2 linked regions of the Saccharomyces cerevisiae S288C genome follow. The protein of the gene in region 1 interacts with the protein of each later gene in a biochemical or structural test. Each region holds a gene or a part of one and is shown in the gene's direction. Other genes may lie near its edges.

Region 1 (7,944 bases):
TTAATCCAAGGACCAGCAGTGCGAAGTAGCACTTATTCCAGATTGAGACCAATTTGGAAATGCGTCCAGCTTTCTTGTCTACTACTGTGAAATGTAAATTCAATCTTGAAGGACCAGGAAACCCCATGATATTGCAAAGGGCATGCAGGATTATGCAGCACCATAGGTTCCCGCCTGTTCTTACGAATACAAACTTGGTTAACCCTCCAAAAAGTGTTGTGTATAAAATTTGGAAGCATGTTGTCAGCAGAATGGAAACAGTTGTCATGGAGCCTTCCTGTAATTGCTCATAAGCATGGTGTGCGTGCGCAAGTCCAAAAAAAAGCGATGGTTGCCAAAATAACTGTTGATAGCTTAGTTGCGAATGCGGTATTAGGTTTAAGTACGTAGTCAAAAGCATTGACGTGTAAAATATTTCCTCAGTTATTGGTGCAAATATAAAATTCCTGAAACTCCAAATATTCAGGAATTCATGGTAAAAATCTTCAAGTATAGAGCTCTTTGGATTTAATAAATGATATAATACAAAATCTAAAACGGGTCCACAATATAAGGTCAATAACATCGCAACACATTTCGTTAAGTCTTTCACGAACTGGCTGAATTGCCAAGGGTTTGGCAATGCAGCGTAATAACCTGGGATAATACCTAAGCCTAAAAATGCGTCCTTGAAACTTATATGTGAAGTGGTACTAGATAATTGAGATTGTAAAAAAGGCACCAAAAAAAGGTTGGAAATTAGCATAATTGTAAGTTTTTGCATGCGAGATTTAATCGTTCGAGGATTATCTCGTTTAGACCCTTCTGGTTGTGAAGTTGCATATAGCGGTAGCACATAGGATATGGAGATGTATAGGAGCACTAGAAATGTTGAGAATTGTAGCATTGCTGTTCTGGTTCTCTCTATGACAGACAGTCAGTAGTCAAAGCATCAATTTATTTCGTTTTATTTTTCTTGACAAAGAAAATTCTATGTTTTGTTCCTGAAATCTCGATATTTTAGTAACTTAAAATAAAGGTAATAAAATCATCAAAGGTTTTCCATCCAGTGGTCCAAAAAAAAAAAAATACAGAAGCAACAAAAGAGCACCAGAAAATGCATTTTAAAAGAATTTTATTAATAATAGGGAATACAAAGGACGCGATAAATACCTTCATCTATAAGCAAACCATACATATATCTATATCTATAAGAAAAGTAACGAGAATTTTTTCTAATGTTTTTTTATTTTGTCACTTGCCTAACAGAAATAGGGATATCAATCTTCGCTACGCCAAGATGGTTTTCAAATTTAATCATTACTCGAACGCAATAAAACCTACAACATAGGCAGCTTTCAAAACTTGGAATTAAAGTTTCCTTAATGTCCTTATTAAATTCCAAGTTCACATTAATGTCTCGTTTGTACTGTAAAGGAGCAATCCTAACCCATTTATGAACAATCTGGTCTGTAAATTTCAGGGAAGTAGACGAGCTACCGCTAGGTAAAAATAAACTACTCTTGGATGAAGAAGTTACTGGCGTTAATGACGCTGAACTGGGCGACGATGAACTACCGTTACCTGTGTGCGATATTGAATCCTCAGATAATGCGTGCTTTGAGTGTTGTTTTAGGGTACTGACCTGTTTTTTAAAAATGTTGGATAAGTTGTGAACACTAACTTTCAAGTTGCAAATGCTTTCGATATCGTTAAACAGCTGTGAAGTAATAAAATCTGTAAATTTCAGTTCCTTTGGCCTACGGTCTCCCCTATTCATATTATATAACTCATTTAATTCAAGAAAATTCTTGTTGAACTTGGTTTCATATTCACAAATTTTTGAATGGAAATCATCGTACAAAGCTTTGATGCTTGTCAGCTTCTCTTTGTTCATCAACAGTTCAGAATTGAGTTTTATTGGGATAGAATTATCAGATTTAGCAGTTATACATATCAGTTCTGTGGTAATCGATTGAATTTCTGGCGGATCATGAGGTAAGCTATTATCGGATTCTATGCAAGTCAATTGTAAATCAAGTTTTTCCAATGGTTTTTTTACGTCTTCCGGAATCAACTCAGACAATCTCACCCAATTTTCTTGGTCGTGTTTACTCTTAGATTCAAAAACATTGGTCTTTCTCAATAATGAGGGAGCCCAATATGGTAGGCCCTGTTTTGGAATTTTCGCCTTTACTAGTATTAGCCCTGTCCTTTCTTTATTTCCCGTTAAATCATGATTATTCTTTCCCGCATTTGAGGAAGAGGACATTGAGCTGGAACTGCTGTTTAAAAAATGAGAGAAGTTCAGAAATGAGGAGGAATTGGATTTGTTTTTCAGTTTATATTTTAGTTCACTTTCAACAAAGGGACCCCAAGCTCTGGAAGTATCGGTATTATGACCACTATTTCCACTGCGGCCATTGTCCAAATCGTGGCCCAACTTCAAATCGTTATAGTTGACTAAATAGTTATTTCTGTTCTTAATGTGCAGTTGGTCCAATTTCCTCTGCAAAATTTCTTGGGAGTCTGATTCAATAGAATCATCAATGGTACCACTCAAGTCTGCACCGTGAATGTCGCGGTTCGTTATGGGTTCTTTTTTCTCTAATCTCTGAAAGATTTTTCTAAGAGCATCCAACCTTTCCTGCACTAGTTTGGTGATATCATTCAGCTGACTCATAGTGGTTCTTTCTCCGACGACATTGGCGTCAAAACCAAAAGGGATTACTCTTAGATTATATTCTCTTTCCTTCATAATATACAGTTTAGAGGCCTTTTGATCTTTACCGACAATCCTTGCATCAATAGTGTAATTGATCGAAAGGTTGTCATCAGACATATCGTTAGTTAAGATGGGGGAGCCCTTTGTACCTAAATGACCGCACCCAAGTACCCTATTGACTTTGATACCGGAATATTTGCAATTGTTCCTATATTTATCAATACCAAAACTGGGAGGTAACAAACAATGAGAGAAATGCTCCTGCTTACAAGTGACATCTAGCAATTGCAGTGGCAATTTGAAAATGAAGAATTTCTTGTACTTGACTCCGGGTTCCAGAACCCGGCTATTGTTTAGCCCAAATACAGAACCATCGTAGTCAACATCTGCGGGAATGAAGTCCACACCGGACCCCAGTGCTATTTTCGAGTATGACCAAGAAGCGCTCAAGTCTACCATCCTTAAAAACCGTTTAATCGTTCTTTTACTCTTTACTTTATCAATAATGGAAATGTAAGACTCTAAAGTGACATAGAACATTTCAAACTTTAGGTTTGCTTGAGATTTGTTTTCAATAGTGATAAAACCATGAATCAAATCCCCCGACGTATACTCTTTCAAAATGGACTCCTCCTCCGGCTTCACGTGTGGTATAGGTGCATGCTTCGTCGTCTTGATGGTGATTTCGATGGGTGTGGACATTTTTGGTAAAGTGTACAATTTGTCGATGAAAATGTTGTCTGTATCGTTCAAGTCATCAAGTATGGGAGGTATATCCAGTGAATCTTCATCGACAGCGGTTGATTGATGTGCTGCAATACTGTGATGTTCGGTTCGAAGGGGAATTAAGTTTTCTAAATTTGATGTTGACGAAGAACGTGTGGCACCCAATGCGTCAGTGGACAATGATTGATGTGAGAGATCAGCGCTCGAGCCCGCAGCACCTGTTGCAGTAGAATTATTGGCCTCTTGGTATGAAGGTGGGAAATCATGCCTATCTGGATCGACGTTGCCCTGCGGAATGTGCCTATGCAGGGTATTGTACATCTCAAATGAGGGCAGTACATCAACAACATTGTTGATATCTCCGTCGGTCAAGGACCTTCCGGTCTCGACGGGGGTCGCATTTGCAGTTGATCTTCTCAAAGGAGAACGATTACCTCCAGCAGGCGTTCCGGTGGAAGGAGCATGCGAATGAGAATGTGCTAGTTCGGGACGTCTTAGTCCAAGGATCCCCGTAGCAGACGCGCTTCTTATCCATGATTTTGGAGAGTGTAACGACGGTGACCTCGAACTGCCTTTACCACCCTCTTGTTTCTGCCTACCACGCCCCCTTGTGTTTGCATTAACGTTCATAGTTGTCGAACTATTTGCGGTAAAATCAGATCGTTGAGGACGCAGCAAAGGCTTCCTCTTCGGTGGAAACCCCGAATCGTTCAAATCTTTGGCCATTTAGCGTACGATATACCTGTTGACACACACGAACAGTCTCTTTTCGCCCTTGCTAAGAGCTTCTTTCCATAATCACTATGCGGCTCTTCATTGCAATACTTTTATCATTATTAAAATAGCCTCTGAGAGCGGGTCACGGCCCGCTGAAGGGAAAGAACAATTTAAAGCCAGTTTTAAGTTCAATCCACCGATGGACGAGAGGCAAATAAGACGGATCAAAGACACCGAATCATTCTAGCACGATAATGTCGTTGAATATACATATCAAGTCAGGACAAGACAAGTGGGAAGTAAATGTGGCACCTGAAAGCACAGTGTTGCAATTCAAGGAGGCGATAAACAAAGCGAACGGTATCCCGGTGGCAAATCAGAGATTGATCTACTCGGGTAAGATTTTAAAGGACGACCAAACCGTGGAGTCATACCACATTCAAGACGGTCACAGCGTCCATCTGGTCAAGTCACAACCCAAACCACAAACCGCCAGTGCCGCTGGCGCAAATAACGCCACCGCCACCGGTGCAGCAGCTGGCACTGGCGCCACCCCGAACATGTCGTCAGGTCAAAGTGCAGGCTTCAATCCGCTGGCCGACTTGACCAGTGCCAGATACGCTGGATATTTGAATATGCCATCTGCAGACATGTTTGGCCCGGACGGTGGTGCATTAAACAACGACTCGAATAACCAAGACGAGCTGTTGAGGATGATGGAAAACCCCATCTTCCAATCGCAAATGAACGAGATGTTGAGTAACCCTCAGATGTTGGACTTTATGATCCAGTCCAACCCGCAATTGCAGGCCATGGGTCCACAAGCCAGGCAAATGCTACAAAGTCCCATGTTTAGACAGATGCTCACCAATCCTGATATGATTAGACAGAGCATGCAATTCGCAAGAATGATGGACCCTAATGCCGGTATGGGCTCTGCAGGTGGGGCTGCCTCTGCCTTCCCCGCTCCTGGTGGCGATGCTCCAGAGGAAGGCTCCAACACGAACACTACTTCCTCATCCAACACAGGGAACAACGCAGGGACTAATGCAGGTACCAACGCAGGCGCTAACACAGCTGCAAACCCATTTGCGTCTCTTCTGAACCCTGCATTAAACCCCTTTGCTAACGCGGGAAACGCTGCATCCACCGGGATGCCCGCCTTCGATCCTGCATTGCTAGCGTCTATGTTCCAACCCCCTGTACAAGCATCTCAAGCAGAAGACACCAGACCACCGGAAGAACGCTATGAACATCAATTAAGACAACTAAACGACATGGGCTTCTTCGATTTCGATAGAAACGTCGCAGCCCTCAGGAGAAGCGGTGGCTCCGTCCAAGGCGCTCTTGATTCACTACTGAACGGCGATGTTTAAATAAACGTCTAGATGCCGCAACCTATATACTTTTACCCTACTCTATCGGCATATATTTAATCTACGTATTACATGTATCCATCAATAATATCATCATAATATCTGGACACTTTTGGAAGACGCGCCCTTGCGAAAGAAAAAAAAAAATTTTCGTTTCACACCTACAGTAATAAACACATAATAACAACGAGCTAATCATCCCAATCAATCACCCCTTCCCCCTTTAATTAGCAGCCAGGGTACTGTATTTAGTCATATAGCGGTACTTGCATTGACCGCGAACGTGTAAACACAAGCAAAGCAGATTATGACCACACAAATAAGGTCTCCCCAAGGCTTGCCGTATCCGATTCAGATCGATAAACTCATTCCAAGCGTAGGTTCGTACCTTCATGAGGGTGATAGGTTGCTTGTCTATAAGTTCTGGTATTTGGTGGAAAGGGCCTCAGACACTGGTGACGATGATAACGAGCACGATGTTTCCCCCGGCGGCAGCGCCGGAAGTAATGGTGTCTCTCCGCCAACCAAACAACTGCGTGAATCCATAGAATTCTTCGAAAGTCCCTACGAGGGGGACTTGATTAGTTGGAATGTAGACGTAGGAGATGAAGTAGCCACTGCTAACCAAGTGATTTGCGAAATAAAAAGGCCATGTAACCATGACATCGTGTATGGCGGGCTATGTACTCAATGCGGGAAAGAAGTTTCTGCAGATGCCTTCGATGGTGTACCACTAGACGTTGTCGGGGACGTGGATTTACAGATTAGCGAGACAGAAGCCATTAGAACAGGCAAGGCATTGAAGGAGCATTTGCGACGGGATAAGAAACTTATCTTAGTGGTGGATTTAGATCAAACCATCATCCATTGTGGCGTGGACCCTACGATTGCAGAGTGGAAGAACGACCCCAATAATCCGAATTTTGAAACATTAAGAGACGTCAAGAGCTTTACGTTGGATGAGGAGTTAGTACTCCCACTTATGTACATGAATGACGATGGTTCTATGCTGAGACCGCCTCCCGTAAGAAAATGTTGGTACTACGTGAAGGTAAGGCCCGGTTTAAAGGAATTTTTCGCTAAAGTGGCGCCTCTTTTTGAAATGCATATCTACACAATGGCTACAAGGGCTTATGCCTTGCAAATTGCCAAAATCGTGGACCCTACGGGCGAATTGTTTGGCGATAGAATTCTGTCGCGTGATGAAAATGGGTCTCTAACAACTAAATCATTAGCTAAACTTTTCCCCACTGACCAGTCAATGGTTGTAGTTATTGACGACAGAGGTGATGTTTGGAATTGGTGTCCAAACTTGATCAAAGTTGTTCCTTATAACTTCTTCGTTGGTGTAGGTGACATTAATTCTAATTTCTTGCCCAAACAATCTACAGGAATGCTACAACTAGGGAGGAAGACAAGACAGAAGAGCCAAGAATCTCAGGAACTGCTGACGGATATTATGGATAACGAAAAAAAACTACAAGAAAAGATAGATAAAGAAGTTAAACGCCAAGAAGAAAAATTGAACCATCAACTGGCGACTGCTGAGGAGCCTCCTGCGAACGAATCCAAAGAAGAGTTGACCAAGAAACTAGAATATTCAGCATCTTTAGAAGTCCAACAACAAAATCGACCCTTGGCCAAACTACAAAAACACCTGCATGATCAAAAACTACTAGTTGATGACGATGATGAACTATACTACTTAATGGGTACGCTATCAAACATTCACAAAACTTATTATGATATGCTCTCACAACAAAATGAGCCAGAACCAAATCTGATGGAAATCATACCAAGTTTGAAGCAAAAAGTCTTCCAAAATTGCTATTTTGTTTTTTCAGGATTAATACCCCTCGGGACCGATATTCAAAGGTCGGACATAGTGATATGGACGAGTACATTTGGTGCCACTTCCACTCCAGATATAGATTACCTGACGACACATTTAATCACCAAGAACCCTAGCACTTATAAAGCGCGTCTAGCGAAAAAGTTCAACCCACAGATTAAAATTGTTCACCCAGATTGGATATTTGAGTGTTTGGTAAATTGGAAAAAGGTGGATGAAAAACCCTACACGTTAATCGTGGACAGCCCCATCTCCGACGAGGAATTACAAAACTTTCAAACACAATTACAAAAAAGACAAGAATATCTGGAGGAGACCCAGGAACAACAGCATATGTTGACATCACAAGAAAATCTAAATTTATTCGCTGCTGGTACTTCATGGTTAAACAATGACGACGATGAAGATATTCCGGACACAGCTAGCGACGACGACGAAGATGACGACCACGACGACGAAAGTGATGACGAAAACAACTCGGAAGGCATTGACAGAAAGAGGAGCATCGAGGACAATCATGATGATACATCACAAAAGAAGACCAAGGCGGAACCTTCTCAAGATGGTCC
Region 2 (6,662 bases), on another chromosome or scaffold:
AGCAGACCTGATTCAGAAGAAGCTTCTTTCAAGTTTATGGGACTTGGAAAATATCAATGAAAGCTCCAAATTATTTATAGCTATTTTCGAAAAGATACCTGAGTCTGAAGAACTTAAAGGACGATCTCACATAAGCTGGTCGGATAAAAAAATAACTCAGAGCATATTTGAGGCTATTCCCAGGCTTTGTGAATCTAATAATGATGCAAAATCAGAAGAAATCGTTGGAATTGTGGAAATTTTTGGTAACTACTTATATTCACGCATGGAATTCATTGAATCGATGAAATTATTGAAAGTAGTCATGATGGCCGTATGGAAATCTTTAAAAGATCCACGCCATCAAATACTAGGTGTCAAGAACTTAAAGACTTTAAACAGATTTATTCCATCCAAATTTATTGAAAGTGCGTTAGTGTATACTTTTGTGGAAGAGGAAGATATATCCGAGAGATTAAGCGTGTTAGATCTGTTATGGACACAATTAGACTCAGATTCAAACTTGATTAGGCGCCCTCTTGAATTAATTTTGGGCGAACTTTTTGATGACCAGAATCCTTTTTATTTAACCGTTTCAAAGTGGATTTTATCGATATTAAACTCGGGATCTGCTTCAAGATTATTTTACATTTTGACTGATAATATTTTAAAGGTTAATCGTCTCGAAAAAGAAAGATTAGACGAAAGGGATGATCTTGATATGCTCACATATGAGTTCCAAATGCTTGCTTATGTTTTGAAAACAAACAATGGACGCACTAGGAAAGTTTTTTCCACTGAGCTTACCTCAATAAAATCTTCGACCATATGGAAGAATGAAGACGTTTCCACATATAAAAGTTTGCTGTTGGTTACATTGATGAGATTTCTAAATATAAAGAGCAATACACATGCGAAAAGTATCAGGAGTGCTCTGATTCTTTTGGATATCTTACTCGATGGAACTGAGCAAAATTTCAAGGACATTGTCATATTTTTGCTGCAAATGTCGTCTAAATATATTGCAGAAGAAGGAATTGAGCCCGAGTTAATAGCAGTTTCCTTGTTAGATATTGTATCGAAGGTTCTCAGACTATCACACGATAATGGTATTAAACTAGACATTTTTGATGACAATGCTGCCCATTTAAAATATATCGATTTCCTTGTTACCAGCGTTTCAAATATGAAAAGCCCTCTTATTGTAACGGCCTATGTGAAGCTTCTTTCCGAAAGCATTGTTTATTTTGAGAATTCTATATTTCGAATGATTTTACCATTGTCTGCATCTCTTGTACAGTGTGTTCAGAGATTGTTTTTGCTAGAAAAGAGAGAAGGTGGTTATTACCAACCAATAGCTTTGCTTCTGGGTGGTCTGGAAGAGCTATTAGAGATTTCACATGGTTACCTTGTCACCGAGGAAAGGGAAGGATACTTTTCTGGGTCTAATCTAAAGGGTGATTTTATTCAATCCGTTGTTTCAAACGTTTTTTCGTCAGATTCTTCCAATGAAGAAAGTAAGATTCAGGGGGAAAGAGACGTAATACTACAATCTTTCAGACAGGTGATTTCATGCTGTTTAGATATCTGGTATTGGGCCCATAACATTTCGTGTAAATCTAACGATGATTCTAGCCTGGACGCCACTAATCATAACTCATACAAGTTCAAATTTAGGTCGAAGAAACTGTTGGAAACCTTATTTCTACTAGAACCTTTGGAACTTCTGGAAAATTTGATCAGCATTAGATCAGACAATACTACAGTCACACTAGTACATGTGCTCGACGGCAATAAACCCGCCATTACAATACCACATTTATTGTATGGTGTAATTATCAGATACAACAGAACGGCATCTGTCAAGTTTTCTAATCGTGACGGAAGTAGGTCAAGCACAACTAAATTAACTAAAGGGGAGCCTTCCATGTTAAAAAGATTAAGCGGGGAATCGATTATTGCATTTTTGTTTAACTACGTGGATTCTGTAGAAAACTCTGCAATGGAGGAGTTTTATGGGGATTTCCTGCTATTTTTCAGAGAAGTAGCAACCAATTATAACCTTTATTCTGATGTTTCGTTGTCTATATTAAAACTTGTTGCCCTTATTTCTGGAAAAGTAAGTAAAACGCAGTTTGGAGAACAAAAACGAGTTAGGAGGGAGATATCTGATGTGTTTTTCAAATACCTACCTAATGCATTTATAAACTTTACGAACTTATATCGTGGCCACCCTGATTCATTTAAAGATTTAGAATTTGTAGTATGGCGTGTTCAATATATCGTCAACGATCAAATTGGAGGAGACAAGTTTAATACAACGTTAGCGACAATTGTAAATCAATGCCTAACCCCTTATATCAAACCCAAAAGTGAAAAAACTATTCCAGGTTATGTCTTAGAATTGGCCGCGGTCGTATCCCATTTAGGTTCAAAAGTTAAAAGTTGGAGGCTTTTAATTGCGGAATTGTTCCAAAATGACAAAAAACTTTCGGTAATTGGCAGCGATCAAACTTGGGAAAAGATTATTTACGAATGGTCCATTTATCCAGAAAATAAGTCAAAAATCTTGAACGATTTACTATTAGAAATTGGCTCCAAGCGTTCAAGTGTGACTCCGACTTTAATCACGTTTAACTTAGGAAGCGATTCTGAAGTCGAGTACAAGTGCCAAAACCTTTTGAAAATATCGTACTTGTTGATGGTATCGCCAAATGACGCATATTTGTTGCACTTTTCCTCTTTAATAAGTTGCATTTTCCACTATTTGGTGTCCAAAGATATCAAGCTCAAGGGAAGCTGCTGGATCTTACTAAGGGTTTTACTTTTAAGATTTTCAGAGTCCCATTTCAATGACTATTGGTCTATGATCAGTTACTGTTTACAAACTAATTTGCAAGAATTTTATGAATCACTTCAAATACAGTCAGAAGTCGATCCACAAACAATATTGCAAGTATGTAAAACTTTGGATTTGCTACTCTTACTCAACATGGAAGGCTTCACCTCTACGAATGAGTGGATCTTTGTTATTGATACAATAAATTGCGTATATAAAACGAACTCATTCGTCGCGCTGGTAGATGAAATCGCAGAATTCAAAGATTACGAAATAACCAAAACTGATGATCTTGAATTACCGACAACTTTAAAAGATGGTCTCCCATTATTACGAGGCATTCACAAAATCGAGAGACACACGCAACTAAGAAGCTTCTTCCAGAATTTGAGTTATCTACATTATGAGAAAGTTTACGGACTAGGGTCAGTTGATTTATATGGTTGTGGTGAAGATCTCAAAAAAGATATTCTGTCATGAGCATAGCTATGAATTTTTCTTTATAAACCGAAATATAGTTATACGCTTTGAGTAAAGACACAGGTTATCAATTATAACGTGAAAGGTTTTGCAACTGTCACCTTGTAAAGCTGTACACACTGAGGACTTCCCATCCCGCTTTTCTCGTTTCAATAAGTTTCACATTCCATTTGTAAGTATCGACAAACCTCTTAATGACTTCTTTAGGCTTATTTCTTGCACAAAATAATATATATGCAACACCATCTGGAGAAAGAATTTGTTCTAATTGTCGTAGCAGTTTATCAGTAATCGCCATCCCGTCTTTTCCACCCAATAACGCTAAATCTAGCCATTGGTCTGCCTCCTCTCTTGATCCTGGGACATCTGGCACACATTCTGCTGGCACATATGGTGGGTTAAATATTAGGACATCAACCTGATTATTCCGAATACTGGAGTTTAAATCAGCTTGAATCACTTCTAAAAAAGAACTTTTACATGAATTTAACTTCGCAGTATCCAAAGTTGCTTCGAGCGCCCATGGGTTGATATCAACAGCTAAGTGGATGGAATTTTCCTGCGGTATTATTTTGTTTTGCATTAGAAATGTTGTGACGATACCTGATCCCGAACCAATTTCGCAAACGATGGCCAAACGATTACCAAATTTCTGTTTCAAAAAATCATGCTCTTTTTCCAAACAGTCCAGTATGAGGAAGCTATCCTCAGCAGGCTCATATACTTTATCGTAATCGCATTTTACATAAGGGGTCGGTAGCATACTTCACCTTTCTCACCCTGTGTTAAGTTTATCAATATTATATTTCAGAGTATAATTATATCAATATTTATATGAAATCAAATTCCGATGGCGTCTTCGGGAAGGCAAACGAACAACTTTTAGCTGAAAAACCAAAATTCTGTTATTCAAATGAAGTATTCCGACAGAGGAATAAATAAAGGAAGGTAATTAACTTCCTTACAGCCGTAACCGATGATTGTTAAAGTGAAGACACTGACTGGGAAGGAGATCTCTGTTGAGCTGAAGGAATCAGATCTCGTATATCACATCAAGGAACTTTTGGAGGAAAAAGAAGGGATTCCACCATCTCAACAAAGACTTATATTCCAGGGAAAACAAATGTATGTTCATTCAGTGGTTAATTATCTTTTAAGTTTATTTACGTTTTTGAGACCTTACTAACGACCAGGATAGTGATGATAAATTAACAGTAACGGATGCACATCTAGTAGAGGGAATGCAACTCCACTTGGTATTAACACTAAGAGGTGGTAACTAGAACCATTTTCCGTCATTTATGGAATTTTATCGAAGGTGTTCATTAGAAAAGAAGACAAAACGAACATAAGTTCACTTGGACTTTGGAAGGCTACCGCCCCCAATTTGTCAAAAAAAAAAATACATACAATTTAGTCTATAGAGTCTGTTATAATAAATTAATTGTTTTTAGACGAGAAATGTGAACTAAAACTGTTTAGTATCTATCAAATTATCCGTTATAGCATAGTACGGCTATATATGGTCTGATTGCTGGTCTCATATGACTTTATGGTTTAAATTTCATAAAGCTGGCCATTGCATGGTTCGCGCTGGAAAGAGAGGAAAAGCGTGGTGATAAAGAGCAAACCAAGCATACTGTTATATGCGATTACAGACTATCTGACCAAAAGACATATTTCGCCATTTCTTCTCAATCATGTCTTCCAGGGCAATTTTGTAAGCACGATTGGATGTCCTCTTGTAGTATACCGAATTTCTCATTAAGAAAAGCATCCTTTGCGCTACAACTTTATCAAGTGGAAGTATATACTAAACTCGGAGCATGCTTTTGCCAACGATATCAGTCTTAGCAAAGGGACTTCTAAGGACGTTATTGACGCCTGATTAATCTAATCAAATATAGGTTTGTCATTTTTTTAAACCGAATGGATTGACTTTTGTTTTCATCATAAGTATTACTCTCTGATAGGATCTCTGTGGTACGCTAAAATCTATCTGAATTGTTTGGGACACTATGCATGAATTTCTTATCAGTTTAAAATTTCTATTAAGAGGATAATTTATTTCATATCTTGGGTAGATGAACCATTAGAAATGTTCGAAGTAGCTGCATTGTTATCTTCTGTTTTTGGATTTTCTAGTTGAGCTGTTGTATTCTGTGGAGCAAACTCCCCGGCAACACCACTGTCAGGATCTTGCGAAGAAACTTCCGAGCTTTTTATTTTGGTATTCTCTTCTGATATTTCTCCCTTTGGTTGCGTCTGTTCGCTCTTCAACTCATCTCCTTCTGTTTGAGAAGCGCTGTTTATACGTTGCGACTTAATTTTTTGCTCTCTTTCAGGAAACGAAGCCTCTTCTTCCAGTGCCCTCTTCTTTCTTTCCTTTCCAATCTTGTACTCCCTAGCATCCTGAAGTTTTTTCCTGTGCTCTTGATTGATTTTGTACAAAAGTTTCTCTTTGAAACTATCATCCAACGCTTCCACTTTTCTGGGTTCCTCGAACAAACCATCAACACCAGTCTTTTCGTTAACTTTATCAAAATCGAACAAGTATCGCGATCTTAGAAACCGTAAAGTTTGCCATTGTCTGATTATTTCATCTTTCGCTTCTCCACCGGAAGTTTCAGAAGAAATTTTTGATTCCCATTTCGCTTGGGCTGCTTCATAGACACCTTCAGGCTTCTTTACTTCTTGCTCAATTTTATCTAGACCAGTAGGTATTTTCCAAACATTATTAATCAATTTATTCCCCATCTTGATGAACGTAAACTTTTTAAAAGTTTCGTCAAAAGCGGGTGGCGGTATCTTCTCCTTAGATATTCTGAAGTTTTGGAATTCTTTAAAGCCATCGATCTTGGCGGTTGTAAACTTTTCGTCAGAAGACATTAATTTGCGGATAACACGATAAAAGTCAGGGTCTTTAATTTTATAAAATTTCAAAACACGATTGTCGCAAATGTATGAACATAAATTGAGCCCACGCTTTTTGTTAACTTCATCAAGGTTCTCAAAATCAATATCGCTCAACGGGTTTTCCCTCAAATAGCAGCTTTTATAGAAATTCCTCGTTTCATCAGAAGAAATTAAATTGCGTATAAGATTTGTTGTGAAACATAGTTGTAAAATGAACTGTTTGCGGTAGTAATCATCGTCCTCTTGAGTCAATTGTTTATAAAGGCAGGTCGTATTGCTCAAAGAGATATCCATAATGGTAGGTCGAAGAGTGTAGTCATCTGATTCTTTAATATTCTGTAGATTCGCCCAAAATTCATTCCTGTCCATTTTCATTGCGTTTGAATGCTTCATATACACGGGTAATTTAGGGGTCATAACATCGTAATTCGCGTAATACTCAGTGTTC

Evidence for each region.
Region 2: the proteins of DSK2 (region 1) and RUB1 form a complex in vitro, tested with the Saccharomyces cerevisiae proteins (one study listed by BioGRID).

The regions. Positions count from the first base shown.
Region 1 is NC_001145.3:814,426-822,369, forward strand, and holds DSK2 (ubiquitin domain-containing protein DSK2), read left to right. Parts: upstream 1-4,401; coding exon 4,402-5,523; downstream 5,524-7,944. Other genes in the region: RCE1 (CAAX prenyl protease), read right to left, coding at 1-886; ubiquitin-ubiquitin ligase BUL1, read right to left, coding at 1,226-4,156; FCP1 (protein serine/threonine phosphatase), read left to right, coding at 5,831-7,944. UniProt on the Saccharomyces cerevisiae protein: Involved, with RAD23 in spindle pole body duplication. Involved in the ubiquitin-proteasome proteolytic pathway.
Region 2 is NC_001136.10:731,537-738,198, reverse strand, and holds RUB1 (NEDD8 family protein RUB1), read left to right. Parts: upstream 1-4,274; coding exon 4,275-4,423; intron 4,424-4,496; coding exon 4,497-4,581; downstream 4,582-6,662. Other genes in the region: DOP1 (Dop1p), read left to right, coding at 1-3,298; MTQ2 (S-adenosylmethionine-dependent methyltransferase), read right to left, coding at 3,396-4,061; HPR1 (Hpr1p), read right to left, coding at 5,363-6,662. UniProt on the Saccharomyces cerevisiae protein: Ubiquitin-like protein modifier that can be covalently attached to lysine residues of target proteins. Activated by the dimeric UBA3-ULA1 E1 enzyme and conjugated by the E2 UBC12 to substrate proteins.